Elephas maximus indicus: one gene and its partner. The protein of the gene in region 2 purifies or fractionates together with the protein of the main gene of each other region. This does not show direct contact. Links are inferred from orthologs where the notes say so. Each region holds a gene or a part of one and is shown on either strand. Other genes may lie near its edges. The genes, in order: IQGAP1 and S100B.

What was found.
Region 1: the proteins of S100B (region 2) and IQGAP1 purify together in Homo sapiens (co-immunoprecipitation; 3 studies listed by BioGRID and IntAct, with this or other methods). This does not show direct contact. The link is inferred for Elephas maximus indicus from reciprocal best matches to the Homo sapiens genes S100B and IQGAP1.

The regions. Positions count from the first base shown.
Region 1 is NC_064831.1:74,780,623-74,788,973, reverse strand, and holds the start of IQGAP1 (ras GTPase-activating-like protein IQGAP1), read right to left. Parts: upstream 3,129-8,351; 5' UTR 3,029-3,128; coding exon 2,974-3,028; intron 1,196-2,973; coding exon 1,096-1,195; intron 1-1,095. UniProt on the Homo sapiens protein: Plays a crucial role in regulating the dynamics and assembly of the actin cytoskeleton.
Region 2 is NC_064820.1:232,026,151-232,033,653, reverse strand, and holds the start of S100B (protein S100-B), read left to right. Parts: upstream 1-4,414; 5' UTR 4,415-4,520; intron 4,521-7,198; 5' UTR 7,199-7,208; coding exon 7,209-7,346; intron 7,347-7,503. UniProt on the Homo sapiens protein: Small zinc- and- and calcium-binding protein that is highly expressed in astrocytes and constitutes one of the most abundant soluble proteins in brain.

The DNA of each region.
Region 1 (8,351 bases), on a different chromosome or scaffold from region 2:
CTAGTAGCTACCAAGGATAGGAGGTAGGGGAAAAGAGGGAATCACTGCTTAGGGGTACTGAGTTTCTGCTAAAGGTGATGAAAAAATTTGGAAGCACATACTGGCGATGTTGCATAACACGACGTAATTAACATCAATGAATTATACATGTAAAAAGTGTTGAAATGGCAAATGTTTTGTTTACATACATTTACAATAAAGAAAACCATAATGAAACACCATTTTCCCCTTTAAAAAAAAAAAAAAGAAGAAAGGGAAATATCTAGAATGTTAACAGTTGTTAGTTCTGGGCAGTGAATACATGGATGTTTGTTGCATTGTTCTCCGAACTTTACTATAGTGTTTTAAAGTTCTCAAAATCAAAGAAGAAGCTCTTTGTTTACTAGACCGTTTGAAATATCCTTGATTTTCATTAAATTTTGATTGCAAATACCTTTCTTTATCCCTCTCTAGCCTTTTCCACCTAATCACTGATTTACAGAACATACGACCTGTAATTACATTTATCTGCCCTGGGACTTTACAAAGGAACACAAACACTAGACTGAAAGAAATGGGACCACCGATAGCAAAATAAATCAACACTCTAAGACCACAAGATTCTGAAGCATCTGAAAAAAGGAAAATAGCAGCTATAAATCCACTTCATAAAGAAAGCAAAGGACGCTGTCTCTGGTTAACTGTTTTTGAAAACTGGCAAGTGGATGAATTTATACCCACAGCACTCTGCGCCTCCCAAACCACACACCCACTCCACAAGCCAGTGAAGAATGAATGAGACATTAAAGGCAAGAACTTCAAACCCTAAAAATGCTGTTTTGCCCCCATAGCAGAGCATCCAAAACGTGTACCATAACCATATAAATCAGCATCAATCTGGAGATTTTTCAGTATACATAAATACCCATCAGTGTTTCATGATAAACTGCCATCAAGTCTACTTGCTCCCATGAATAAACACCCTACCTATACTTATTCCCTCAACTACCAGCCTCCCACAGTTACACCTACAACACACTCAAAGAGATCTTTATCTGCATCCACAACGTATCAGCTCCCTTCTCCCCACTGTCTCTCCAGCCAGCCAATCTTTACCTCTTTGCTTCTTCCAAATGACAAAGGTACTCATAAGCCACATTCTGGCGTCGCCTTTCATCCATCTCCTCTGCAGTAAGTCTCTCATTATCCAGGACAGCTAAAACATGAAAGACAGAATGTAAACACAGAGATCTGTAACCCTCCTGAGAGATAACAGAACGTCACAGCATCAAATTCCTGCTAGTCACCTAGAAGGCCAGGGCAACCGGCGGATGTGTGGATAATGAGGTACTACAATGACTTTCATAAAACAAGAACTTTGGGGTTTCGATTATACCAATCTTACTCTTTCTCACAAAGTACAATAATATCAGCATGTACTAAATTTTACTGTGACCTTGAAAAATACTGGTGCTTGAGATTTGGGCCCAAGTTTGCCCAGATCTGGTTTTCTAAATGCAGATGTGATCATGTTCTTCTATTTCATTAATAACCAAAGCCAGTAGTTATTGAAAACTAAGTGGCAGCGGTATACTAAGCTTTTTACATGCATTTGTTCACTGAAGACACACAATAATCCTATGGTTATCACTCTTATTTTACAGTCGAGGAAACTGGGGCTGGGTGAGTTCAGCTCAGGGCTAGTAAGTGGTGGGGCCTGGAATGAAACTCAGAAATTCTGCCTCCAAAGCCTATGAGCATAACCTGGAAGCAATCTGCCTCCTGCATGGGCACCCCGGGTATAGAATGAATTCCTAACTCCTCGGCATGGCATTCAAGGCCTTTCCCAATCTGGCCCAACTACTTCTGGAAACTCATCTCCTTCCTCTCCCTGCCCTTCCTCCCACCACTGTGCACTCCACACCACTGAGTTCTCAACACGGCCTTCTATCTTCAACACCTTAGTTCCCGCTCTTCCTTCTTCATGTCATGTCTCTTGCCCCACTCTATCCTGTCAAACTTCTTCTCTACACAGTATACTTCAAGGCTCTGTTCAAATGTCACCACCTGTGTTCACACAGTTCCTAACCAAGTCTCTTCTCCTCACCCACATTACTGTTTATGCCCAGTTGACCTATCTCTTATCTTTATTACACCTTATCTTCATTAGGTTGTACACCTGTCTGATTAAAATGTTGTTGAAGGAAGGACCTGGTCTTACTCATCTTTAATTTCCATGTTTTAATTAACATGGTACAGTACCTCACACATAACTGATGAGTGAAATTATCCTTAAAAAAGAACATCATCCCCAGAATACAAAATAAAATTGAAAACCTCAAGAGCTCTAAAAGGATCCCTCCTTTGGCCAGGGGTAACTATCCCATCTGCAGTTCAACGATGTCCCAAAAACAGACACAAAAAAGGAGATTCAGAAAATGAGGAAGTCGGAAGGCTTTTTTTTATTTTACTTTTGAAATCCTGACGAGGGAACTAAGCCCGAAGAACTGAAGTGACTCGTCCAAAGCTGCACCTCACAGCGGGCAGGCCTGAACCCCGGGTCTACCCCGCAGCCTCTCGGGGAACGCGTCCAACGGGGAGGCACCTTCCCACGAGGCCCGAGCGGAGCCCGCGTCGCCGGTGCCCGGGACACGCCCTGCATCGTCCTCCTGCCACCTCACCCTAGGCCGTCTCCCCAATCTCGGCCGCGGCGGGCGGCGGAGGCGATGGGTGCGGCCCCTCGGACCGCAGAGCCCGGGCTAAGGAGGGGAGGCCTCCGGGGTCTTCCCTGCCGCCTCCGAGCCCGAGCGGGACCCGGGCCGGGGGCCTCGCCGCCCCGCCCGCCCGCCCGCAGCCCCACCGGACCAGCTCTTCCGGGTCCGCGCGGCCCGCACCGCCCTGCCCCACCCTCCCCGCCGAGCCCCCGGGAACACTGCGCCTCGGAGGCAGCGAGCCCGGTCTTGGTGTTCCCGCACCGCGGAGCCCCACACTCACAGCCATAGTGCGGCCGGGCCACGCCCAGCCCGTCAACTTCGTCCGTGGCGGACATGGCGACCGAGCCCGGGTCTCTGCTGAGGAAGCGGTGAGACCTTCGAGGCGCGGCAGCGGCAGCTGTGAAGCCTGCAGTGCGCGGGCTGCCCGGGCTCTGTAGGCCCCGCCCACGCCTCTGGCCCCGCCCCCAGGCCGCGCCCTAGCGGCCCCGCCCTGCGGCGCGGACCCGAGCGGGAGAAAGAGGGCGGGGCCCGAGCAGCCCAGCCCCAGCCTCGTGCCCCGCCTCGTTCTTCCGGCCCCGCCCCGTGCCTCGCTCAGGCTGGAACCGGCGGAAGGAAGGAGGCGGAGTTGCTGGCCCAGTTCGCGCTCCTCACCCAGTGCCGCGGCCGCCGTTTGCTACGTCCGCAACTCTGACAAAAAGGCCGTGTTTGTCGGTGGCTAGAAATCTGGGTTTTTTTTTTTTTTAGAAATCAAAACGATGGGCTACCTTGCTTCCCCTCCCGGGTGAGCCACGCTCGTCTGCACAAAGGGCTTAATGAAGGCATGCTTTGAGGGGGCCCAAGGGGTTGTTGGAGCCTCTCCGCACAATCTGGCAATCTGGCCTCAAGCCTCTTCCAGATTCACCAGCGGTCATCGTATTAGAACAGCTCAGCCCTCCAAGTGTTTGAGATGTAGATGCTAAAGCAGAAGAACATATCTGCCCAAACACCTTTCCCCTGTAGTCCCTGGCAGTGTTCTTCCCTATTCTCTTTAATCCAAGGATTCTTTGCCCCTTTTAAGAGTGCCTCTTCCCCTGCCTGTTTCAAAAAGACACCTACTCCTCTTCAACATGGTTGGGTTCCAAAGACCAGGTCAGTATGTGAAAATCAGCATTATGCAAAAATAGAGGATGACTGCGTCATTACATAACTGCCAAATTACATCATTACATAACTTTCAAACCACAGAGAATCATGGCACAGCAAAGTTGACACAACCTTAACCATGAAAGCTAGCATCACTCGCGCCTCTCATCTCAGTTCATTACCACCAGGCTTCCTCTAACTTCAGAGGGACGAGGGGGATCATTATATGCAACAGCCCAAAGCTGATACCTATGAGGCAGAGGTCAAACATACTTTCACTCTCTCCAACCTTTTTACCAATTCTGACACCATCTGTACCTCCCACGGCACTCTACTTCCCTAAAAAATGGGTTCAATAATTAGTTGCAATGGCCACACAGAACTCACAGACCATACACAGTTATGGGGCTTATTAGGGAAGTAACAGGTACAATTCAGAATCAGGAAATAGGCAAGATACAGTTCTTCTATTGGGACAGCAGGTTCTCATTGGCACTCACATTCAGGCCTTTCCCTGGTCCTTGGCCCTTCAGGGCCTCTGCCCTACTCAGGCAAGTGTTACAAAGCTCTTTAGCTTTGTAATAAGTGCCTGGGGGTGGGGGGCAACCCCCTCTGAAAGGAAGCCTCAGCCCCGAAGGCACACAGCTCTGGCACTCCATGGGCATTGATTGTGTACCCAAGTAAAATGAAATCCTTGACAACTTCAAACTTTTCTCCATTTATCATGATGTTGCTTATTGATCCAGTTGTGAGGATTTTTGTTTTCTTTATACTGAAGGCTGTAGTCTTTGATCTTCATCAGCAAGCACTCCACGTTCTTTTCGCCTTCCGCAAGCAATAATGTGTCATCTGTATATTGCAGGTTATTTATGAGTCTTGCTCTAATCCTGAAGCCCAGCGTCTCAGATTATCTGCTCAACATACAGATTGAATAAGCATGGTGAAAGGATACAACCCTGATGCACATCTTACCTGACTTTTTAAACCACATAGTATCCCCTTGTTCTGTTCTCACTACTGCCTCTTGGTCTATGTAATGGTTTCACATAAACACAATTAAGAGTTCTGGAATTCCTATTCTTCTCAACTTTATCCATAATTTGTTATGATCCACACAGTCAAATGTCTTTGTATGATCAATAAAAACACAGGTAAATATCTTTCTGGTATTCTCCGCTTTCAGCCAAGACTGTCTGACATCAGAATGATATCCCTCATTCCACATCCTCTTCTGAATCCAGTTTGAATTTCTGGCAGTTCTTTGTTTATGTACTGCTACAACTGCTTTTGAATTATCTTCAGCAAAATTTTACTTTCCTATGATATTAGTGACATTGTCCAATAATTTCCACACTCTGTTACATCACCTTTTTTGGAATGGGCACAAATATGGATCTTTTCCAGCCGGTTCACCAGGTAGATGTCTTTCAAATTTTTTGGCATAGACAAATGAGCTCCTCTAGCACTGCCTCTGTTTGTTGAAACATCTCAGTTGGTATTCTGTCAATTCCTACAACCTTGTTTTTCAACAATGCCTTCAGTGCAGCTTGGGCTTCTTTCAATACCATCAGTTCTTAATCTTATGCTACCTCCTGAAAGGGCTGAATGTCGACCAATTCTTTTTGGTACAGTGATTCTGTGTATTCCTTCCATCTTCTTTTGATGCTTCCTGTGTCATTTAATATTTTGCCCATAAAATCCTTCAATACTGTAACTCGAGGCTCAAATTTTTTCTTCAGTTCTTTCAGCTTGAGAAATGCCAAGTGTATTCTTCCCTTTTGCTTTTCAAACTCCAGGTCTTCACATGTTATTACAATACTTTACTTTGTCTTCTCAAGCCGCCCTTTGAAATCTTCTATTCAGCTCTTTTACTTCATCATTTCTTTCATTTGCTTTAGCTGCTCTATGTTCAAGAGCAAATTCAGAGTCTTTTTTGATATCCATTTTGGTCTTTTCTTTCTTATCTTTTTAATGACCTTTTGCTTTCTTCATGTATGATGGCCTTGATGTCATCCCACAACTCGTCTGGTCTTCATTCATTAATTTTCAACGTGCGAAATCTATTCTTGAGATGGTCTCTAAATTCAGCCAGGACATACTCAAAGTCGTATTTTGGTTCTTGTGAACTTGTTTTAATTTTCTTCAGCTTCAACTTGAACTTGCATTTTAGAAATTGATGGTCTGTTCCACAGTCGGCCCCTGGCCTTATTCTGACTGATGATATTGAGCTTCTCCCTTGTCTATTTTCACAGGTATAGTCAATTTGATTCCTGTGTATTCCATCTGGAGAAGTCCACGTGTATATCCGCCATTTATGTTGGTGAAAAAAGTTATTTGCAATGAATAAGCAGTTGGTCTTGCAAAATTCTATCATGGGATCTCCAGTGTCATTTCTATCACCAAGACCATATTTTCCAACTTCTTTGTTTCCAACTTTCACATTCCAATCACCAATAACTATGTATGCATCTTGATTGCAGAAGTTGGTAAAAATCTTCATCTTTGGCCTTAGCGTTTGGTGTGTAAATTTGAATAGTAGTCATATTAACTGATCTTCCTTGTAGGCATATGAATATTATTCTATCACTGTGTTGTACTTCAGGATAGATCTTGAAATGTTCTTTCTGATGATGAATGTGACACCGTTCCTCTTCAAGCTGTCATTCCCAGCATAGTAGGCCATATGCTTGTCCAATTCAAAATGGCCCATACCAGTCCATTTCATTTCACTAATGCCTAAGGTATCTTTAAGCTTCCCATTTCAATTTTGATGATTTCCAATTTTCCTACATCAATAATTTGTACATTCCATGTTCCAATTATTAATGGGTGTTTGCAGTTTTTCTTCTCGTTTTGAGTCGTGCCACATCAGCAAATGAAGGTCCTGAAAGCTTTACTCTATCCATGTCATTAAGGTCAACTCCACTTTGAGACGGCAACTCTTCCCAAGTTGTATTTTGAGTGTCTTCCAACCTGAAAGGGCTCATCTTCCAGCACTATATTCAGACAATGTTCTGCCACTATTCAAATGGTTTTCAGTGGTCAATTTTTTCAGAAGTAGACCTCCAGGCCCTTCTTCCTAGCCTGTCTTAGTCTGGAAGCTCTGCTGAAACCTGTCCACCTTTGAGGTTCTGGCTTTTGGTCATCAGAGGCTTCTTTAGTCTGTGAAATACCAGTGGCATAGCTTCCAACATTACAGTAATATGCAAGCCACCGCAGTATGACAAACTGAAGACCAGAGGCAGACTTTCATTATTGGAGTGAATATTTAGGGGAACTCCTAAAATCCCTAAAGGACATTGACCCCACATTCTCCAACCAACTAAGCAGAGCAATGTCTGAGCATATAGCTCATCACTAGGGTTAGGCTTTCTCTCATGGTGCTGTAATTGGATCCTCCACATAAAAATACATATCCATGGGGACCACAGATCATCCCATTTTCAGTATAATTATCTGGGGAAGGAATAGTTCTCTTAGCCAGCTCAAATCAACTTTCAGTAAGACAATTTTCACAAATGAATAACTGTCCTAATTTCACTGTGCTCCAGAACTTAATACAAAGAGGGGACAGATTATTAGGATCTGTCTGGCTTCCATTTAGACAATATGGCAACTGATTCACATGCAGAGGCAATGTATTGAAATAACTAGGGAAATTAGCAGTTTGGCAGTACTGTAGTAATCTCCTAAAACTGTGATAGAGACCAGATAAATATTTCTGTCTAGAACAATTCAGTCTCCATCCTACAGCATGGGTTAGATTGAAACATGCTGCCTGAGGTTGAGCCAACAATCCAAGGAGATACCATAATCTGACATGTATGACTCGTTTAAAGGTAACACTAAGATTAATAACTGTTTCAGGTGCAAGACTAAAATTTGATATTGGAGACACTACTGGATCTGAATTTTCACATCCTGATCATGGATTGGGATGACAGATCCAACATTCAGTCAAATCACTGGGACTTACTACTGATTGGGCCAACTTAACAGAAGTATTTTCATCCCAACCCTCAGATGGAATTACTATGAAGAAAAGAACAAAGCTTAAACAGCAAAGTCCACAAAATTCAGCAACGTGCATGTCATCTTGTTTCGTGATCTTGGGACTAGCTGTCTACATCAGATGTCATCTGCTTCTAGCCATCAGAGCATCTCAAGGTAATCTTGAGTTCTCCAGAGGGCTGGCTAATCCACTGAGGTGTTTTGACTTTCTTTAATTGTGACAAATGGATCCAAAGTTTGACTCTCTCTGGTTTGGCAGCACACAATTTGGTGAGGAGAACCAGATATGGCCCCTTCCAAAGGGGCTCCAAGGAGTCCTTCAGTTGATGTCTCTTCCAATATACATACTCTCCTGGAGCAATATTGGGAAGGTTTTGAGGTTCTGGCTTTTGGTCATCAAAGGCTTCTTTAATCTGTGAAAAATAAAGTATTTGATTAAAGACTGGCAATATTTTAGTAATTTGAGTTGCACAATATTAGGGTCAGCGTGAGCAATATAAGTAAGAGTAACCCAAAATTGGCAGG
Region 2 (7,503 bases):
CATGGCCGAGAAGCTTCTCAGGCACAGGGACCCCAGGTCCAAAGGACGCTCTCTGCTCCCAGTGCTGCTTTCTTGGTGGTATGAGGTCCTCCGCTCTCTGCTTGCTTCCCTTTCACCTCTTGAGAGATAAAAGGTGGTGCAGGCCACACCCCAGGGAAACTCTCTTTACATTGGATCAGGTAGGTAAGCTGACTAAGGGTGGTATTACAATCCCACCTTAATCCTTTTAACATAAAATTACAATCACAAGATGGAGGACAATCACTCAATACTGGGAATCATGTCCTAACCAAGTTGATGCACACTTTTTGGGGGGACATTATTCAATCCATGACAATCAGTCTCTTATATACATTTGATGATAGATTGCTGATATGCACACTCAACCTTATGGCTAGGTGAGTCAGACAATCTTTGGGCTGTATAATCACCTGACGCACCACAGTCAGATGTTCTGTCTCTACTGAGTCCCTAGAGCAAGCCAGAAACTTTTTCTCAAAATGAGAAGAGTTAACTTCCAAAAAGAACATAGACTTGGTCCAAAGTCCTAGAGGCTTGTAGTGTGAGTCTCCTATTGGTGCTTGTCAGAGGATCCATACTGCATCCCTAGGCAGCACAAACACTTTGAATATCACTGGATCTGCTGGATCCTAAGGACCAAGTGGTAAAGCAACCTGTGCTAACCTAAACTTTCTCTGGTTCCCACTTGAAACTGCCAGGCTTATGAGTTGAAGTAGCAAACTCAAATGCAGTATATGTTGTACATAAAATCCCAAAAGCTCTACTAAGTGTTGTTCTTTTTCATGGTAGGTGGTGTAAGATGCAGCAAGTTATCTTTCACTTGGAGGAGATATCTTGGCATGTCTCAGACTGCTGAACTCCCCCTCAAGAGACTTCACTAGGTGGTGGGCCCCTAAATTTTCATGTGCTAATCTCCCATCCTCTATTTTTCATGTCTTACTAAAGCACCTACAGCAATTGCTACTTCCTGTTCATCGATCTAATCAGCATATTATCATGAATATAGTGGATCAGTGTGATGCTTTGTTAAACATTGAGATGATCAAGATCTCTGGACACTATACTATGGCAGAGAGCAAGAGAACTAGCATGTCCCCAAGGCAACACTGTGAGGGTATATTGTTGGCCCTTCTAGGTAAAAGAAACTGTCTCTGACGATCTTAGCAATTATGTGTGGAGAAAAAGGCATTAGTTAGATCAATAGCTGCATATCAAGCGCCAGGTCCTATGCTGACTTTCTCTAGTAAAGACACATCATCCGGCACAGCAGCTACAATTGGAGTTCTCACCCAATTACAATAAAACCACCCTGCGAGGCAGGACAGTGATCATTTCATTTTACAGAAAGATTTATTAATTTGCCCAAAGTCACACAAATGTTAAGTAGCATAGCTGAGATTCAAACCTAGCAGTTATATGAATCTGTGGGACCTTGGCGAGGCCGTAGATTTGGGTACTGTTCAGCACAGGGATGGGATGGTGACCAAAGAAAGCTCTCATGTCCTTCCCCATGCTCTTCTTCTAAAGGCCTTGTGTCTGTGTGTTCCTGTGGGGGCTGAGCGAAATCACTCTGAGGGCCCATAGCACTAGGGAGCCCTTCTCATCCAAGTGGGAGTTCCTCTTCCTGCCAGGTTGCCCCAGCACCACGTGCCTACCTCTCTGAAGAGCTTCCTCTCCCCCTTCTCCTCGTCTGCTCCTATAGACCCTGGGACAGGGCGAATGCTGTTGGCTATCCCAAGAAGTTGTGGTGTCTTGTCTCCAGAGGGCGGGCCTGCCTGGGTCCCCAGAGTTGAGCCCAACACCCTGCATACAGTAGGTGTGGAGTAGTTGGGTGAGTGTACTCCACAATTTTTCCTTTAACCCCTGCAGGAGTAGGCTGAATATTTTATGTGTATACTGTATGGTAAACTCAGAGTCTATGCTGCCGTTCTGGGGAAGTGGTTAAGGTTTGCAGGGTGGCCATTCCCACAGCTCCAGTGCCTGGCATGCAAGAGGTGACACACCGATGCTATGGGAGTGTAGGAGATTGGGTGGGGGTCTGGGTTGGGATAACTCAAGCCCCATGACTCACAGTTCTGTGCTATTTCCAGGGCACATTTATGGATGTTGAATAGTCAAGAATTTTCTGGTTAAAATAAATGACAAGAAAACAACTGTGTACACAGACATCTTTGTGCATTGGTACTTCACGGCCAGTTTGAACCTGAATGAGAAACAGAAGGAGAGCACTGATTCTGGTTCAGATATCCTATGGGGACCACGGACATACCTGATAAGTTTTGGGGCAATACCTTTGCATAATTTGTCAAAAGAAATGCCTACTTTTTGACAAGAACCCACAAACTGGATTTCTGTGTTTGCAGGTTGAGGTAGCGTGCTGTTAAAGCTGGGCAGTAGGATTGTAGGTGTGGTGGGGGGGTAGGTGGTTGTATTTCTCTTCCCTGTGACTGGTGTGGTGGGGCCTTCAGCAAGGGGCAGACCATCATTACTTCTCATCTTGGAAAGCAGAGTGTTTTGACAGGCTGTTTCTTTTTTTATTGTATTTTAGATGAAGGTTTGCAGAGCAAACTAGTTCACTTTAAACAGTTAATACACACATTGCTTTGTGACATTGGTTGCCAAACTGACAACATGTCAACACTCCCCCCTTCTCGACCTTGGGTTCCCCATTACCAGCTTTCCTGTCCCCTCCTGCCTTCTCAACCTTGTCCCTGGGCTGGTATGCCCATTTAGTCTCATTTTGTTTTATGGGCCTGTCTAATCTTCGGCTGACGGGTGAACCTCAGGAGTGACTTCAGTGCTGAGTTAAAAGGGTGTCTAGGGGCCATACTCTCAGTGTTTCTCCAGTCTGTGTCAGACCAGTAAGTCTGGTCTTTTTTGTGTATGTGTGTGAGTTAGAATTTTATTACACATTTTTCTCCAGCTCTGTCCAGGATCCTCTATTTTGATCCCTCTGACAGGACATTTCTAAGGTACTATCCAACTCTGAGGCAGCGGGTTGGGTGGGTATCCAACTATGACAGCCTCTGACAGTGGAGGGAGAGGCTTGGGGTACATCTTAGTCTTCTAGTGCTGCCATAATAGAAATACCACAAGTGGATGGCTTTAACAAAGAAAAAATTTTTTTCTCACAGTCTAGTAGGTTACAAGTTCAAATGCAGGGCGTTGGCTCCAGGGGAAGGCTTTCTCTCTCTGTGGGCTCTAGAGGAAGGTCCTTGTCCTCAGTATTCCCATGGTTGAGGAGCTTCTCAGGTACAGGGACCCCGTGTCCAAAGGATGCGCTGTGCTCCTGGTGCTGCTTTCTTGGTGGTATGAGGTCCCTAACCCTCTGCTTGCTTCCCTTTCATCTTTTGAGAGATAAAATGTGGCGCAGGCCACACCCCAGGGAGACTCCCTTTACACTGGATCTGAGTAAGGGCGGTGTTATAATACCACCCTAACCCTCTCGACATAAAATTACAATCACAAAATGGAGGACAACCACAGAATATTGGGAATCATGGCCTAGCCAAGTTAATACACAGATTTTTGGGGGGACATATTTCAATAATAAACAAGGATTTTCCCCTAAAAGCATCAAGCATCCATTATACCACATGTTTTGGTGGAGCCCCCTCCTTGCTGACAGTGGACTCAGTAGTTTCTGGAGGCAGCCGTGTTGGCTCCAGCCAGAGAAGCCCCCGCTGCCCTGACAGGGCATCACATCTCCAGGTGGAGGCCAGACCAGGGGAAGCTGTAGACAGGGGAGAGGGGCTCCATGGGCCTCACCATTATGGGAAGGGCTCTGGAAGACAGTTGAGGTTCATCTAAGGATTTCCAGTGATAACGATAGCAGAATAAAAAAAAAAAAATGGAAAATATACTCATCATGACTTATCATGGGCCATAGTGGACATATCATAAGAAAACTCTTAAAAATGAGCTTTTGTCTTTGGGAAAAGGATCTATTTTGGCTTTAGCTAGCTAGATGTTCGGTCCGCACCACGGAAATAAAAGAAGCCGGGCATTCACTCAGCAAACATTTATTGAGCGATGCCTGTGTGCTTAATCTCCTACATTCCGCCTGTACTTGGAAGCTTCTTGTTCTTGGCTGGACATTTGCTTTGTTTGAATTAATTAATCCATCTCGCTCTCTTTTCCCCACCCCCACACTGCTTTTGAGAGGAACATCAATATTCATGTAATTAAAAAAAAAAAAAACACAAAAAGCTGACTCCTGCTTCCTGCCCAACAGGGCTCTTTCTTTCCCTTGGCCCCTGCGCAGTCCTGGCTGTCCAGCAAGTCCCTGGGCGGTCGCTTGGTCAATGCAGCCCTGTGTGCCGGCCTGTCTGCCCCAGCCGCCTCCCCGCCCTTGGCCCCCATTGGCTGCCACTGCCTGCAGTGCGTCTGCACCAGGGTCCACTCCCCCTCCGCCTGGGAGGAAGGAATAAGAGCCTGCTTCTGTCTGCCACTCCTGCCACTCCGCTGCTGCAGCCAGAGACCACAAAACAGCAAAGCAGGTGAGGAAGGGCAGCTCTTTTCTGTCTTTGGAGAGAAGGGGGAAAGGGATGGGGCTAGGGGTTGGGTAGTGGCTAAAAGGCGTCCTTAAGATAACTGGCAGCATTTCAAAAGTGTCAACAGCACTGCATGCTTAAGTCTTAATTTTTGATCTTATTACTGCTTTGTGGACCCCTGAGGATGTCCACACTAGACAGCCAGAGGTGCGTTTTACTTGTTTCTGTGACCACGAATCAGAGAAGCCTCAGGTCTAAGGGCTTAGAAGCAATTGCTGACGTTTTCCCAGAGGTACAAATGCTTCTTCCCCAACTCTTCTCTAACTTTTTGTTCCCCACTGGGGCTCAGAATAGGAGCCCTAGTTGTGCAGTGGTTAAAGTGCTTGGCTGCTAACTGAAAGGTCAGAGGTTCGAATCCACCAGCCACTTCACTGCAGAAAGATGTGGCAGCCTGCTTTCATAAAGATTACAGCCTTAAAAAAACTATGGGGCAGTTCTACTCTGTCCTTTAGGGTCGCTATGAGTTGGGGCATTGGGTCTGGGGCTGAGAACAGTTTAGAACCTAATACCAGCTTAGCCTTGTATCATAAACAAATGTTTTATTTTCATCCTCCTTTTTACTTCTTCCATGGTCCTGGATAAGTTATTACTTCCTGGTTTTCTCATTTCCCTCGATTTGAAATGTCCATGTCCTGCTGGACACCACTCAGAAATTCCATGACAGTTGGGGAAGGTCTTCACAAATAAACAACGAATTGGGTCAAAAAGAAAAAAAAAAAAAAGCTTAGGTTTCTGGTGAGTTTTAGGGAACCCAGGTGGCGTAGTTGTGAAAAGCTATGGCTACTAACCAAAAGGTCAGCAGTTCGAATCCACCAGGCGCTTCTCGGAAACCCTATGGGGCAGTTCTACTCTGTCCTATAGGGTCGCTGTGAGTTGGAATCAACTTGACGGCAACAGGTTTGGTTTTTTTGGTGGGTTTTAACTTTCCTCAGTCTTACAATCCCTCAAAGAGGTAGAGCCCTTTAGAGTGGGCTCTCAGAGTGTATGTGATGTGTAGGTGTGTCTTCCTGAACAGCGGAAGCTCCAGAAGTCTCATTTCCAAAATAAAAAGATTAATGCAGAACTTTCCCAAAGGGAAGTGAGAAGGAAATATGGGTATTTGCTTGCAACTTTCTTAAAAGATAATCTTTACACCATCAACCGTTTCTTAAGTCACAGGGAAGAAAAAATGAATTTGCAGTAAGGTTAAGAAGAAAACTACATTTTATGGAGTTCTATAATTTTATAATATATGATGGAGCTCTGGCGGCACAGTCGTTAACAGCTTGGCTGCTAACCAAAAGGTTAGCAGTTCGAATCCACCAGCCACCCCTTGGGAATCCTTTGGGGCAGTTCTACTCTGCCCTATGGGGTCGCTGTAAGTTGGAATCGACTTGACAGCAACGGGATTGGTGTTCATATATGAAATATGTGTTTTTTGCCTTTTTTTTTAAAAACCCATTACTCATGCTTTAGAGGAAAATCATCGAACCTTCTCTTCCCCAAATCATCATGGACTTAAAGCAACATCAGGATGCAGCAAAAGTTTACTAGGTTTCTTAAAAAAAAAAAAAAATCAGTAGTTGAAAACTTGAGGGCAAAGAACGGGAAAGTATGAAATCTTAGAGATTTTAACTCATCTGAATTGTCTTATATATATGAAATACCTGATTCTTAGGGATTTAAGCAAAGTACCCTGGTTACTAATAGCGTGGCTTTGGCGAAGATCAGGCGAAGACAAAAATAACCTCAATCATGTTCCCTTTGGGAGATTAGAAATAAATAAGATTTTAAACTTTTATTTTAAGATGTAAATGATATATTCAACATGGGAGTGATTTTTCAACAGTGAAATTTATTTTTAGTTACAGCACTGCAAAGGTTTTTACTTGATTTAATGATTAGAATTCAAGGTCCAAAGTGGGTAAACGTCTCTGCCTGAGCTTCTCAGTTTTGTGAGACAATGAACCAGCCACCCTTTGTAAAGAGTGCCATGCTGCTGGGATTGAGGAAATAATTTCTCAATTCACTGGCCATGATATAAAGTACATGGTATGAGGGAAGCAGGAAACTTCTTGCTTTGGTATCTACAGAGAAACACTTCTTTCCAAGGTTTGTCCCAGTCACTTTCTTGAATAACCCACCATTTCCCCATTCACTTGGATAGGCGCCTTCATGAATACTAACGAAATGCTTGGGCTGCGGCTCAGCCTCCAGCTGCATTCTCTCTACGCCTCTGTCAGGACACACCAGTTCAATCGTTCAGACTTATAATACATTTTCGTTTCTGGTAGGTCAGGGTGCCTCTCGATATTCTTCTTTAAGAAAAAATAAATTGTGGCAATTCTACCATATTTATTTTTCCAGATGGATTTGACAACTGTTTTTTGTCATGTTGCTCACCTATAAAAAATTGCATTAAGATCTTTATTAAAAATGAGTTTAATTTTTATATTAATTCAGGGGAAAACAAGGTTCTATATTTATGTTCCTTAGAATCTTTTGGAAGGGCCTGCACTTTTCTTGTCAAATTTATTCTTAGATAAAATGTGTGTGACCCTGGATAGAGGTATCTGCAGACATTACGTTAAATGTTTTATGTCCAAACAAAACACAGCACATGAGAAGACATCTTTCCCTTGTAGAACCTGTAGGATGTCTGAGCTGGAGAAGGCTATGGTGTCCCTCATTGATGTTTTCCATCAATATTCTGGAAAGGAAGGTGACAAGCACAAGCTAAAGAAGTCTGAACTCAAGGAGCTCATCAACAATGAGCTTTCCCATTTTTTAGAGGTGAGTATTCCTTTGTGAAATCAACAGTTTATCCATCTTCCTTTTTGGGAACCGTGGTGGCGTAGTGGTTAAGAGCTACAGGTGCTAACCAAAACCCTGGCAGTTCGAATCCATCAGGCTCATTGGACACCCTGTGGGCAGTTTTACTCTGTCCCGT